Pelodiscus sinensis: one gene and its partner. The protein of the gene in region 1 interacts with the protein of each later gene in a biochemical or structural test. Links are inferred from orthologs where the notes say so. Each region holds a gene or a part of one and is shown in the gene's direction. Other genes may lie near its edges.

Evidence for each region.
Region 2: the proteins of EPS15 (region 1) and EPN1 form a complex in vitro, tested with the Homo sapiens proteins (4 studies listed by BioGRID and IntAct, with this or other methods). The link is inferred for Pelodiscus sinensis from reciprocal best matches to the Homo sapiens genes EPS15 and EPN1.

What each region holds. Positions count from the first base shown.
Region 1 is NC_134719.1:8,705,539-8,712,765, reverse strand, and holds the start of EPS15 (epidermal growth factor receptor substrate 15), read left to right. Parts: upstream 1-4,215; 5' UTR 4,216-5,253; coding exon 5,254-5,352; intron 5,353-5,865; coding exon 5,866-5,955; intron 5,956-7,227. UniProt on the Homo sapiens protein: Involved in cell growth regulation. May be involved in the regulation of mitogenic signals and control of cell proliferation. Involved in the internalization of ligand-inducible receptors of the receptor tyrosine kinase (RTK) type, in particular EGFR.
Region 2 is NW_027465849.1:3,116,220-3,123,480, reverse strand, and holds the start of EPN1 (epsin-1), read left to right. Parts: upstream 1-4,256; 5' UTR 4,257-4,761; intron 4,762-7,261. UniProt on the Homo sapiens protein: Binds to membranes enriched in phosphatidylinositol 4,5-bisphosphate (PtdIns(4,5)P2). Modifies membrane curvature and facilitates the formation of clathrin-coated invaginations. Regulates receptor-mediated endocytosis.

The sequences.
Region 1 (7,227 bases):
GAAACAGATGCAGAGCAGCAAGTCAAACTACCTGATATTTACTGTGAGAGCTGGGCACATCTCCAGCACACACTCCCTTCTAATTCCTGTCCGAGTCATGTCTTATCAAACTCAACTGGAATATCTCTGGCATGATGTGGTTAGGACAAATATCTCCCATTAGAGAGATGTAACTTGGAAATTTACAAATTAGAAGTGATTTAAAAAAATGAAATCCATGAAGTGATGTCATTCAGGATAGTATCTAAGCAATGTTTCTGAGCTTCTAGTTGAATTTTTTTCTAGTTGAAATAGTATTCGCATTCCAAGTACTATTTTTCTACATTCTAATGATTTAAATCAAATGTATCTGTATCTCTTTAAATCTAAAAAAAATCCTTTTTAATATTACTGAAGATAGCTTTGATAACCATACTCTCAGGACGCTAAACATGAAAACAGTGAGAGCAAATCAGGGAAATGGTCAAAACACCTGAGCCATACACCCGGTAATTCCCTGCAATCTAAATCTAAAACTAATTGAATGGAAAGCTTATTCTGAAATGAGCCTAACATCGGGGAACAAAAAAGTAACCTTGTCAGAATCCATTCAAATGACAGTCACCTGTCTTCACTCCTCAAAAAATGATCTTCCTAGAGGATAGAGTTGAAGATTTAAAAATAGACAATGCTGACTCAATATAACTCTGGGGTTTCCTTGAATAGTGGAAGAACATTGATCCACCAGCTCTTTTCTGAATGGATGCCAAAACTACATGAGGACCCACTGAGTATAAAATGAGGCTGTATTTGACACTACAGTTGCATTAGTTGCACATTGCAGAGAGCTCCTTATAACATACTAGTGGTTTTAAAGAGGGAGAGGGAAAAAAAAGACAACCATAAGCTTGCACAAGTATACCATCCCATTAAATCCCTGAATATTGAGCCCACTACTGTAAGAAATAAAAGTACTGATGATAAACTCAGGCGATATGTAGAGTTCTGGTAAAAACTTCATTCAACTTCAGACTTTCACTAAATCGCAAATTCACAGTAGTTGCTTCCAGCCTGTAAAATCTTGCTGAGTTTGCTAGAGAACAAAAATTACCACTAGAAGTGAAAATATGAACACATGAAGGTGAACCTGTTCCAATATATTTTCCAAATGGCATTTTTATCAAGGCTTTTGTCAGTGAATTCTATAAATGTCTTTAGGCGTGTGTAGTGCTCTGAATACCTCAAATGTTCTGTTAATCCCTTAAACAGGGAGAATTGTCCATTGGTTTTGCAAGACAATATCATCTCACCCTTGGCTTCAAAAGACAATCCAAAAGCCTGTAGATACTTACCAATCTAAGAAAGAACATATTAGAGAAAATTCAATAGTGTGCTTCAAAATGCTTATCTCTAGCATAACTTCTCATTAACCGTTGTCAATTTATTCCCTGGAGAACTACAAATCGTAATATTTTGTGAAAATTACACTTGACTGATCAACTCAACAGATTAAAAAGAACCTGGTTGGGATTAGTAAATGCCCTTTCTGCCTCTGGAATTAATGTTTTAAAGTATTGGCCAAATTAATTTAGGATATTAATTTAATTCCATCACACAGCATTCTTTTCCATTTTCATTATTTTGCTTGATCAGCTTCTGATCAATCTTGGACTTTAAAGAGGGGCTGAAAGCAAAAGTGTCCTCATTTTATTTTTCTCTATCCTTTATATTGCTTGTAATAGCTGTCAAATCCTTCAGAATTTCAGGGCATTACAATCTATGATAAACATAATGAGTTTGTTTTTGTAGACGATTACATGTGAAATGCAGGATTACATTTGATCCTTTACAGAAACAGTGAAGGCCAGTACAGTATACTGTCTGGTGTATCTGTAAATATGATGAAGTTGAGAGCTTGTTTTTTCTTAGTGATCTTCTGATGGATTGAAATCTGGGAAGATGGTGCATACAAATTTTGCCTACGATAACTAAAGCAATCATGCTAAATAAGTTTTTATGTGGCTTTACTTTAAGATTTTCCATTACTAACTTAAGCTGAGTCAGCTTGATAAAATGAAAGACTTTCTTGAAATCCTCCCTGTACTTCTTCTTACTTGGTATAAAAGAGCTAGCTAAAATTGTTGAGCTGTCTAGAGTAGCTCATGAGCATGAGATCTAACCTCAAGGCAGAATGTCAAGAAACAAAGTCCAAACCTCAAACTGATTGTATGTTCTATAATTAAATTTCACCAACCAGATAACAAGTGTGAACGTCTAAAGCACTCTGACAATTTTAACATGAAACCACAGACAATTTCTTTGGTCTCTCTTGTATAGCTTGCCACCCAGGCAAGTTTGCCTTTGTAGCAGATGGTCCGTTTCACCAAAAAAACCACAATAATAGTCATGCTACTCCCAGTACCAGAGGATCTGTCCATTACTCCACATTAGTTTACTCTTAGATCTGTTACCAAAGATAATGTTTGAAGCCAGTCCTGTGATTAAACTAACTACAAAAGATAATAGAAGCTCTTGTAATATGTAAACTCTTCAGGGCTAAGCAACTAAGGGATCCTTTGGTTATGATTGGAAATGTGCCATCTCCAAATTCCAGGCAGTATAATGTTAATTTCTCCTTGACACAGATTTTTATGCATTCCCCCACTGTTCAGGCAATTATAGGATGAGTGCTTTTGTACATATCTGCTTCATGGATGTGGGGAAGCAATCAATGCAGTCTTTTGTTCACTGATGCGCTTTACTATGATTTTATTTGTGTCAATATATGCCGCCTTTTTCCGGGGAGTAGATGAGACCTCTTGTGGCAAACTAATATTTTACGTTTGGTAATGCTTCTTTCGTGACTGAAGTTTTACGGTTTTTAGCAAACATTTTTGTGCTTCAAGAACAAATCCTTAATGTACCCCTTGTTATCTGTATATGTATTTTAGAGAGTGTCTGCCCGTTTGTTCAAGAACTCCTCCTCATAAGAGCTATGACTATGAAATTTGATATGCAGCTTCCTCTTACCCTAACTTAAACCAAGGTCAGGGTTTGATTGTGCTTGGAAAATGGAAAGTTCTGGGAATGGGACTATTTCCCGTAACATGGAAAGGGAGGGGACAGAGAGAGGAAGAACGTGAAAGGGAGGGGCACAGAGAGGAGGGACGTGATACTGAGAGCAGCTACTGGTGGTATCTGCCGCGCCAAGAAAATGGCCAGAAGGGCTTGGATTCTGCCTTCTTGCCTGCCAACACACTGGTAAGGAGCCCCCCACCTCAAACCTGGAGCCTGTCCCCACACTCCATCATGGAGAGACCTCAGGGCATGGGGAGGGCGCTGAAGGTGAGGGCATCCCCACAGCCTGGCTCCTCTACAGGCAGCCTGTAGGCCACAGGGGAATATATGCGGGTGGGGGTTAGATGAAGGGGGAAAGTCCCCCGAGCCTCAACCCCCAACAAACTATAGGCTGGTGGCTGCAGGCTGCCGCAGTGTTGCTGCATGAGAGGGCCTCGCTTCTTCCCGATAGGCTGTGGGGGAGGACAGTTGCGGGGCTTGCTGGCAGGGGAGTGCTGCCACGGCCCCCCGGAAGGAGTTGCCACCAGAGCAGTGCTGCCCTTGCTGCCATGGGTGGCCCTGGTAAGCCCTCCCCATTTCCCAGCTCTGACTCCTACCTGCCTTGACTTTTTAGCATCCCCTCCTCCTATCCTGAGCCCTCCCCATATCTCCCAAACGTCTGCCACTCTGCCTCTCCTCACCCTTGATCTCTCACGCCTGCCTTCATTTTTGAAATATCATTGAAATAATACATTTTCGTTTCTTTTTCCTAAAAAACCTCACCTCTTCCGTTATAGACCAGAGCAAGGCTGAATACATCTTCTAGTAATATTTATAAGGTGAAATACATGCAGACCTCTAGAAACTTTTCATGAAATCTAAACACATTCCTATAATTCTGATGTTATTTTTAACAATACTAACACACAGGTGACCCAGACTTTATTTTATTTTATTTTATTTTATTTTATTTTATTTTATTTAAATATTTTTACCCTGCCTCTCTATTTAAAATATTCAAGGCGACTTATAAAAAACTGTTTAAACACAATACAAATATATATAAAAATTTAAAATATAAGACTCCAGAGGGACATAAAATGTGCTAAAAACATATAGAGAAGAGAAACACACACATACAGACTCAAACATTAATAAAAGCACGAGTAAAAAGGGTGGCTTTAGCCTGACACCGAAACAATGTTAGTGTTAGTGCCATGAGAATATCCCGAGGAAGAGAATTCCACAGTCTGGGAACAAAAGCTGAGAAGGCCCTGTTCTGCACAAATGTTAATCTTATCTCCACAAGTGGGGGAACATGAAGCAAAGCCTCCCCAGCTGACCTCAATCTCTGGGCAGGTTCATATGGGAGAAGACGGTCCTTCAGATACCCCGGACCCAACTCTTTTAAGGCTTTATCGATCGTGACTAAAACCTTAAAGTGTGCCCGGAAACATACTAGAAGCCAGTGCAGCTGCTGAAGCACTGGCATAATGTGCTCTATATAACGAGTATTAGTTAAGATTCGAGCAGTCTTAAGATTCTGGACCAGTTGACGTTTCCGAAGGTTCTTTAGAGGCAGCCCCATATAAAGTGCATTACACTAATCCTGTTGGGATGTAACAAGAGCGTGGATCGCTGTTGCCAATTCATGCTTGTTCAGGAAGGGTCGCAGCTGATGGATCAAACGAAGCTGCCCAAAAGCACTTCTGTTTGTCATTGTTCAGTGAAGCCCCTGGGCCTTGTCATAAGGTGGCATCTTGTCTGCCAGCCTCAAAAAAACAGGTACGATCAAAAGAACATCAGTAATTGTCTTGTCAAAGACCAAAACAAAGGAGATATTAATCTCTCCTTCTTGAATTTTTGTAGCTAGGCCGCTATAATTTCATGTGGTTGGTACTTTACAGACACTCAAAGCTTGCAGTTTATTCTTTTCCATCTGATATTTGGCTATGAACGTTTTGTTCCCTCGGGAGATGAGGTCACATCCAGTCCTAGGTACCGCTCTGTAAATGTGGGAAAATGCAATCTTGTACCTAAGTGCCTTGCCAACATTATCATTGACTTCCTGGATATGCCGTTTCCTTCAGGACAGGAAAAGTTGACATTGCAGACTTTTCCAGGGCATATTAGTAATGAACTCTGAACTACTCCATTAAGCTTAACCTACCTCCTGAGGATTTTGGTATGTACATATAAGTCTGATGCTTTGAAGGCATGGTTACTAAAGGAGTTACTAAAGGAGAAAATCTGCAATTGGGAAGAACTGATTGGAAGAGAATCATGTGGTGGTCTCATCCAGATAAGATCTTTATTGTACATTGATTTATTTGAGTATTGCTCAGATGTATACTTGAAATCCTGTACCTTTTGTTGAAGACCTTAAAACTCAAGTGTAATTAAAGGTTGAAAAATCTTGAATGCTACTCCTGGCAGACCACAGATGTTGCTGGACCAGAGAGTTCTGGATTAGAGAGGTTCAACCTGTATTAAATAGATACATTTCTGTATGTTTATAAATAAAAATTAATGTAAAAATATTTCATTCCCTTGCATTAACTCCTGAGTACAAAGTGTGGATAATATTTTATAGTTAGGTTAAGTTTAAGAAAAATAGTGGATTCATTCTAGCACCCGCTTTAAAATGCATCTGTTCTAATGTAAAATGCATTTATTTTGAAAGGAAGCTGTTAAAATACACCGAAGAGAATTTAGTTGCTTTAGAATTCAAAAGAGAGAGGGGGGGCATTCTTCTCTGGTAGCCTGCTGATTAAGAATGTGTATTTTGTAGCAGTTCTGGGTACTAATCAGTGGTGGTATCTTTCACAGGTTGATTCTAGTAACACTGGAAGAGTGGTGGCTTCTGATGCTGCTGCTTTCTTGAAAAAATCTGGGCTGACAGACTTGATACTTGGAAAGGTATTAATTATTTAATGAGTAACATTATGCCTTCAATTATGCTGTCTATTCCTGTTACAGTTTCCTTTCAGAAATACTATACATGTGTGTACAAAATGCTAGTATACAATATGTAATTTTGCTTTTATATATTGCACCTTTCATACAAAATACTTCAAAATCAGTGAACCTTACAACCTCAGTGGATAAATAATATTGTACTTACTGTGCAAGTTATGCTATGAGGATTAGGGTTTGATTCTATAAATACTGAGTACTTGAGTCAGCATTGAGGTGCTTTGCTCTTCATATTAAGTATATATTTGGCCACATAGCCAATAAGTGACAGAACTCAGATACAGAACTCACAAAGTCTTTATTGTAAATGGTATAAAATACTTATTCTAAGGACATTTATGGTCATCTGGAACTCTACCTAACATTTTATACATGATGATAAAACTATATTATAACCTTTTTTTAGGTAAGTTATGCAGGCACTTGAGTTATAAAATATGACTGTTTCTTTTCCTTTAGCTATAACTGATCAAGTTTCTATAATACATGGAAAAATAAGGACAGAGTAGTGACCGTAATTCCATGATTTCTAAACTGTTGACAGATTTGTATTTATCCTAAATGTTGTCTGGTGGATTGAGTAAATAAAATGAACTGTGAGTTTTTGTTTAAATATTTAATATATAGACTATACATTTTTACAAATCTGTTATATTTATATTTTAAAATATTGAGCTCGGTGGTCTTTCAAAGAATATGGAATAAGGAGGAGGTTAGTTAAACAGAAATGAAAAGGCACAATGACTAGTGCCAAATCCCTGCAAGCTGCATGGAAACTTTTTAATGACCCTATAATAGAGGCCCAACTTAAATGTATACCCCAAATTAAAAAACATAGCAAGAGACCTAAAAAAGAGTCACCGTGGCTTAACCACCATGTAAAAGAAGCAGTGAGGAACAAGAAGGCATATTTTAAGAAGTGGAAGTCCAATCCTAGTGAGATAAATAGAAAGGAACATAAACACTGTCAAATCAAGTGTAAAAATGTAGTAAGAAAAGCAAAAAAGATTTTGAGGAACAGTTAGCCAAAAGCTGAAAAAGAAATAACAAAATGTTTTTAAGTATATTAGAAGCAGGAAGCCTTCTAACAAACCTGTGGGTTCCCTAGACAATCGAGATATAAAAAGAGCAATCAAGGACGATAAAGCCATTGCGGTTAAACTAAATGATTTCTTTGCTTCAGTCTTCACTGCTGAGGACATTAGAGAGATTCCC
Region 2 (7,261 bases), on another chromosome or scaffold:
CCCGCACTGTTAGGCACGCAAGCACAGTGAGCGAAACTACCCTCTCCTGGGAGATTCTCTTGGTCGCAACAACCTTGCGGCCTACTGAGATGAAGGAGGGCCTCTCTTGGGGTCCCATCGCTAGTCCAGGTTGCCCCTCCCTGTTCTAAACAAAGGACCGAAGGACTCGTCCAAGCTGTGGGTGGCTTCCTGAGATTTGGCTTACGCCAGCGGTTCATTCCAACGCCGGTACAAGCCTGAGCCAAGAGCTTGGCAAGTGTCGTGTGTATTTAATGTAACTGTTGTAACTGTCGTCCTTTCTCTTCTTTTTACAAATAAACCTTTAGGCTATGTCTACACTGGCAGGTTCTTGCGCAAGGCTTCTTGTGCAAGAACACGTCCACACTGCCATGTGCTTTTGCACAAGAGCATCTGTGGCAGCGTGGACGCTCTCTTGCGCAAGAAAGCTCTGATGGCCATTTTAGCCGTAGGGCTTTCTTGCGCAAGACACCTCTGCCGTGCAGCCACACTGCCTTCTTGCACAAGAGCCCCTGCGCCAGAGAGCTGACACCTGTTAGACAAGAGCGTAGCTCTTGTGCAAGAAGCCCTCTTCCGACACTGTACTGTACGTCTTCTTGTGCAAGAGCGGGCGGGCAGTGTGGACGCTCTGCGGGTTCTTGCGCAAGAACTCGCCAGTGTAGACCTAGCCTTAGAGCTTAGTTACTAAGGGGTTGGCAACCACGTGATTGCTTGGGTCTGATCGAAGGTGTAAACTGAGCTGGGCATGAGGCTGGCCCTCTGGGAGCGGGAGAATTTGTCCGGATTGGTTCACATCACCTCCCCTTGGGGAACGTGGGGGTGGGGGGGCTACTGGCGGTGATGCAGGGGAGCGGGAGGGTCTGAGGGGGTTGCTTGTGGGACTTCTTGCTGGCCAGGGTAGGGGAACAGACGCGCTCTTTGCGACTGTTTGGTGCTTTATCGCAGGGAGCTCCAGTCGTGGGCTGTAGGACTGTCTCAAAGCAATTCGTTCTGAGCTGAGACTCTCTGGAGTGTCCCCCCAGAGCCCTTTTGTTACAGGGGACAGGGGGCACCAGCTCCCATCCACCCCCAGGGCAGGGACAGGCTGGCTCAGAAGGGTGGGGAAGGGGGCCTGGAGCCTTTCCCCTCCATGGCTGCTGTAGCTGGCTGTGGCTTCCAGTTGCTTTGTGGCCCCTGCCTGAAAGGGGTTCACTGGGTCTCTGCCCGGTTCCCAACAGGCTGGACCACAGCGCCTAAGCCCCGCTCTGCCCCTGAGAAGTGGGTCTCCCTAGTGTGAGGGGACCAGAGGCTCATGGAGCCGGGGGCTGCTTCGGGTGAGGCTTGGGGCCCAGCTGTCTCAGGGTGTCTACCGTCAAGGCCTGCCCTACCCTGGGGCGCTGGCGGGAATGGGCCATACTCTATGCAGCTCCTTGAGATGGGCCCTCAGTCCCATAGGATGGGGATGTGCCTCCATCATGCCCTACGGCTATTTTGGACTACAGACCCTACAAGAACAGCGGCTGAGCTGCAGTGTCATGATTCCAGAGAGACCCTACAATAACAATTCCACTGCTCGGGAAAGACCCTACAATGGGGGGGCGGGAAACCCATTAAATAAAGAGAGCTGAAACCGGCGGAAGAAATGCAAAGAGCTGCACCAGAATTGTCGAGCAAAAAAAAAACCACACACTGCCCCTTTAAAAAAACATGGGCTTGGGCTTTTGGGCCATAGCAGGCTCCCATTGGCTGCCGCCATCTTGCAGCTCCCATTTTCAATCACCTCCGGATGGCTCCCTGCCCCGGTGAGCACAGGGGGCCGATTGGAGGGGCGCTGGGGCAGCTTTGCAAGCCACGGGGGAGGCTGTGTGAGTTGCACTTTTGGGGGGGTGGGGAGAGCCGCATTCGGTTCACGAACCACGGGTTGACCACCCCTGCCCTACAATAACAAACCAGTACCCCTCCTCCACTGCCACAGGAGACCCTATAACAGCAAACCAGTGGGTGCGAGCCTGGGAGGGGGGCGGCTTGTGCAGTCCTTCGCTGCGCTGCCTGTTTGGCCCCTCTCTTCGGGCCGGCAGGGGCGGGGGCCATCACGTAGGAACCTGACGTGCAGACGGATCGAATGGATCATCTCCTTGGGTTAAGGGATCACCAGATGGGGTCAGACTGGTCCCCGTGTCCAGTTTGGGGCTCATCACAGTAGGCCAAGGGACCTGAGAAACGTGGCATCAGGCTGGGTCAAAGAGTCACCTGACTGGGTCTAGAGGCCATCAGGCCGAGATGGCTTGGTGATGGCTGGATGGAAGCTGCTTTAGCGGGATACCTCCTGGGCAGCGGAGGACGTGAGGGAAGAAACAGAACAGCCGAGCCGTCTTCTCCAAGATCAGTCCCGTCCCTCAAGCAAAGGAAGACAGGAGGCTGGAGATTCTGGAGGTGAAGTGCTTGCTAGGTTAGCGGCGGAGGGTTTGGGGTTATTTGAACATTTGACCGCCTTCCGCGGGGAGAAGGGGTGAACATAAGAATAGCCAGACTGGGTCATAGCAAAGGTCCATAGCCCAGCGTCCTGTCTTTCGACCGTGTCCAATACCAGTTGCCCCAGAAGGGAATCATCAAGTAATCCCTCTCCTGTCATCCATTTCCAGCCCCTGGCCAACAGAGGCTAGGGATACCATTCCTACCCACCCCAGCTAATAGCTATTGATGGACCGAATCTCCATGAATTTATCTAGTTCTTTCTTGACACCCGTTAAAATCCTGGTCTTCACAACCTCCTCTGGCGAGGAGTTCCACAGGTTGGCTGTGCACTGTGTGAAAAAAAACGTCCTTTTGTTTGTTTTAAACCTGCTACCTACTAATTTCATCTGGTGACCCCCTACTTTTCTTATGTTGTGGGAACAAGTAAATAACTTTTTTCCTTATTCACTTTCTCCATACCTGGCATGATTTTATAGACTTTTTTTTCTAAGCTGAAAAGTCCCAGTCTTTTTAATTTCTTTTCATATGGCACCTGTTGCAAACCCCTCAAGGTATAACGGTTGGACGCCTCCAGCTGAAGAGAAGAGGGCCCAATCTCCTTGTGGACAAGCTGGCTAGAGTAGCGCGTGTGTGTGTGCCACACAATTAGCAAGAGGAGCCTGCAGAAACCGCAAAGAGATGAGCACATTGCACAACATTGAGGTGCTGAGAAATAAATTCACCACAATTCATGAAGGCTGTTGATCAACTGGAGAGGGGTCAGAGAAGAGCCAGGAGAAAGGAGAAAGGGTTAGAAAACCTGCTGTACTGTGACAGACTCACGGAGCCCAATCTAGTCCATTAAGCAAAGAGAAGCTAATTGAGTTTCTAAGTACCTATGTGGGGAATAAATGTTTAATAACAAGCTCTTCGATCTAGCAAAGAAAAGTCTAAGCTGCTTCCGTGGCTGGAAATTAGAGCCAGACAAATTCAGGTTGGTACGAAGGCGTCCGTTAATTAACCGTCGGCACAACTTACCACGTGTCCCAGTGGATTCGCCATCCCTGGGAATGTTTCACTCCAGACTGGATGTTTTCCTAAGAGACGGGGTCTGGGAATTACTGGGGGGGGGGGGGGGGGGGGCAGGGCTGTGGCCTGTGCTAGACAGGGGGTCAGACTAGATGCTCCTATGAATCTGCGCCAGGCCGAGAAGTCCTTGTGCTGGGTCAAGGAAGCCAACACGTGGGGCCAAGGGGACTTCTCTGTGGGTAGGTGTCCCAGCTGCACAGGGGAGGCCGGATATTTGTCTTGGGTGGGGGCCTATTTCCCTCCCCACCCCCACCCCCGTCCTGGGTTTTCTCCCTGGCGGCGCGGCCACCTGCCCCCGCGAGGAGCCGCCGGGTCAGATCCCATCAGGGCAGCCCCCCCCCGGGGCCGGGGTCAGTGCACGGGGCCAAGGGCTCAACAGGCAGCGGGGGAGGGGGGGGGGGGGGTCACAGTGTCACCCTGCCAGACCTGGGGGGGGAGCAGGGCTGGGGTCATCAGGGCAGGTCAAAGGTCATGGGGCAGGTCAAAGGGTCAGCAGGGTGGGTCAAAGGTCAATCTATTGGGCAGGGAGTCAAGGGGGCGGGGCCAAAGCCTCACGGGAGGTGAGGGGTCAAGGGGGGCGGGGCCACGCAACCATGGGGGCGGGGCCAAGGGGAGGACAGAGGGAGGCGGGGCGCGGCGCAGCTTCCCGGCGTCATGGGAGAGGCAGGAAGTGACGTCACGGCGAGGGCGGAAGCCCGGCGGGGGAGCAGGGCGGAAGTGAGGGCGGGCGGCGGCTTCCGCTTCCGGTGCGGAGGGTCCAGCAGCCGCGGCCGCTCTAGCGCCGAGCGGAGCCTCCGGGGCCCCTAGAGCCGGGCGAGAGCGCCCCTCCCCCACCGGCCCGGGGACCCCCCCCCCCAAGTGACACCCCCTCAGGGCGGGACTCAGCCCCCCCCCCCCCGGCTTCTCCGCCCGATCTGAGCCCCCCCGCCCGGGGAGCCCCCCCCCACTGGGCCAAGGGGGCAGCCCCCCCCCGCGCGGGGCCCTGACATGCCCCCCCTGGGCCCGCGCCCCGCCCGGGGATAGGGGGGGATCAGAGGGGGTGGGTCGGTGGGCGAGAGACCCCCCCGCCCGCCCCTGAACCCCCCCCCGCCAGCGCCGCGGGGCCTGAACCCGGACGGGGGGTGACCCCGGGGGCTGGTCCGCCCCCCCCCCCCCCCGCCGGGCGGCGGCCCCGGTGCCCCGCGAAGCTTCTTCCGTCCCGGCCCCCGCGGGGGACGCGAGGTGAGTCCTGCGCGGGGCGCGTCTCGGCTCCGCTGGCAGCAGGGCCTAGGGGTTAGCGCGCCTGGAGCTCTTCTCTGCCTCAGTTTCCCCACCTGTGAAATCCGCTCCCCCTTCGCCGCTTTGGGGACCCTCCCCCCCCCCCGGGCGCTGCCAGCGAGGGCGGCCGCCCTGGGCTCTGCTTTCTGCGAGCCGGCGAGCGTGGGAGGTGAGAGGGACTCGTCCCTCTGAGTCAGCGCCGGTGCCAACTGCCGATCACCCCTTTGACGGGCTGGCGGCGCGCCCCGCGCTGTCCAGAGTTCACGGGAGGGCCGGGCTGCCCTGGCAGGGGAGATCGGGCTGGTGCCTTCGGCTCGGGCTGGGGGGCAGCTTGCAGAGGCTGGAGAGAAGGCCAGTGCTGCCCAGCATGGGGGATCTGGGCCCCGGGTGTTGTGGAGGGGGGGCCAGGCTGTCATGCCCGCCCCGGCTTTGCAGGGTGGCCAAAGGGGACAGGGGAGGCCGTTTGGGGAATCCAGAAGAGGCCCGTCTTGTACCCACACGGGGGTGGGAGGGCACGGGAGTGCGACTGGTGGTGCCTAATCTGGGGGCCTGGTGTAGGAGTGTGTGAGGCAGGGAAGGATTGGTCTGGGGACACGGTGCTTGGGGGGAGTGGGGCTGACCCAGGGAGATCCCTGGGCAGGGAGGGGGTGAGTGGGGCTGGCCCAGAGGCGGGGAGGGAATTGGAGGAAAAGGGGAGGCAGGCAGGCTGGCTGGCTGGCCAGCGGCCTTGACCACCGCAGGGAGTGGTTCTAATCCCCCAGCTCAGCCTTCTCTCTCACGTGGTTCATTGTCACGTCCAGACCCTCCCTGTCTGGCTGCCCGGCAGCCCAAGCAGGTTTATGGGCAGCCCATGGCACAGTGGGGGGGGGGGGGGTAGCTGACTCGTGGGGTGAGAGAGAAACTCTCCACAGCCTGGATGATTTATGGTCCCCCGAGAGGGCTCCCGGAAGTGCCTTTGTGCTGTTGTATCCCCACCTGCTCCCACCCCTCTCTGGAGAGCTACCGGGGCTGGGGACAGCTGGCCGGTTTGGACAGGGAGCTGACGGGGAGATCAGGACGGTGCTGTGCGGATCCCAGCTAGCGTGGTGGATCCCAGCTGGTTCCCTTCCATCTGCCTCCTCGCCGGGCGTGGTGCTTGGCGCTCGCAGAGCCGGGAGTCCCCTCAGGTGCAGCTCTGGGGCACCCATCTGGGCCTCTGGCTAGCGAGGGGCTGATCTGAGCAGTCGGGTCTCCCCCGTGTCATTGTGCCGCTCCTCTTGGCTTTCTGCTACCGGAGCCAGGGAACTGTTGCAAAATCCCCGCGGGGGATAGGCCCCTGCCGCCCGGTCAATTTCATAGTCGGCCCCAAACCTGCTGGAGCCTGTTGGTCCACCCTTCACGGGTGAGGGGCGGGACTCCCACTCCCCAGGGCTCTGGGGGTTGGGTCTGACATGAGACCCCCTGGGATTGGCAGGGCGTGGAGGGGGTGTGAGAAGAGCTGCGACAAGCCCTCCGACCAGCGTGTGGTTATGGGAAGGTCCAGTGGGTAGGAGGCAGATTAGTGCTTAGAGCAGGGAGGCAGGACTCCTGGGTTCTCTTCCCAGCTTTGGGTGGGGGGGTCTAGTGGTTAGAACGGGCAGGGGCTGGGAGCCAGGATTCCTGGGTTCTCTCCCTGCCCTCTCTCCATGAAGCGGGGGGTGGCCTGCATGGGAAGAAGGGGAGGGGGTTCCCTGAGTCCCAGGAGCACTGCAGGACCACTGCATGGGCTCTGAGGGCCAGGGGGAACCTGCATTCCACCCCCTGGAGGTCTCCAGCCCCTGCAGCTCCCGGGTCCCAGCTGGCAGCAGCCAGAGGGGAAGGAAGTGAGGCCTTGTGCCTTTCTGAGTCATGGCGCCAGGACGCCTGGAGCTTTCCTTCCTTCCCCCGGCGCTCGCCGGGCTCTGCTCCGTGGCTCCGATCCCTGGGTCCGGAGATGTGGCTGCCTCTGGGGTAGAGCTGGGTGCTGGTTATCCAGGCACCCATCCCTGGTGCTGGGGTGCGGCCCCTCTGGGGCAGAGCATGGGGAGCGGGTCACCTGCACGCCCCTAGCCCCAGGCTAACACACGTCTGGCTGCGGGGCCGGCTGTGACGGGAGGGGCGAGTCCCTCCCCCACCCCCACAGTGCGGCGCCCCCAGAGCTCTGTGTCTCTTCCTTCCCCGGGGCCTTTGGCTGGAGGCTGAATTCCAGCTGCGCTTGGCGTCCAGCCGCTGGGGGCTCCAACCACTGGCTGCTGCTGCCTCCCGCCAGCTTGGGTGCGTTCTCTCCTGGGTCTAGACCCCCCCCGACCCCTCCCAGAGTTAGTGCTCCCTGCCCGCACGCTCCCGCCGGGGAGGGACAGAGGAGGCCCCGGAAGCCAGTCCCCCCCGGGGGAGTGTCGGACTCCTGGCTCCCAGCCCCCCTTTTGAGCCCCAGAGCCTGGGAGAGAACCCAGGAGTCTCCTGCTCT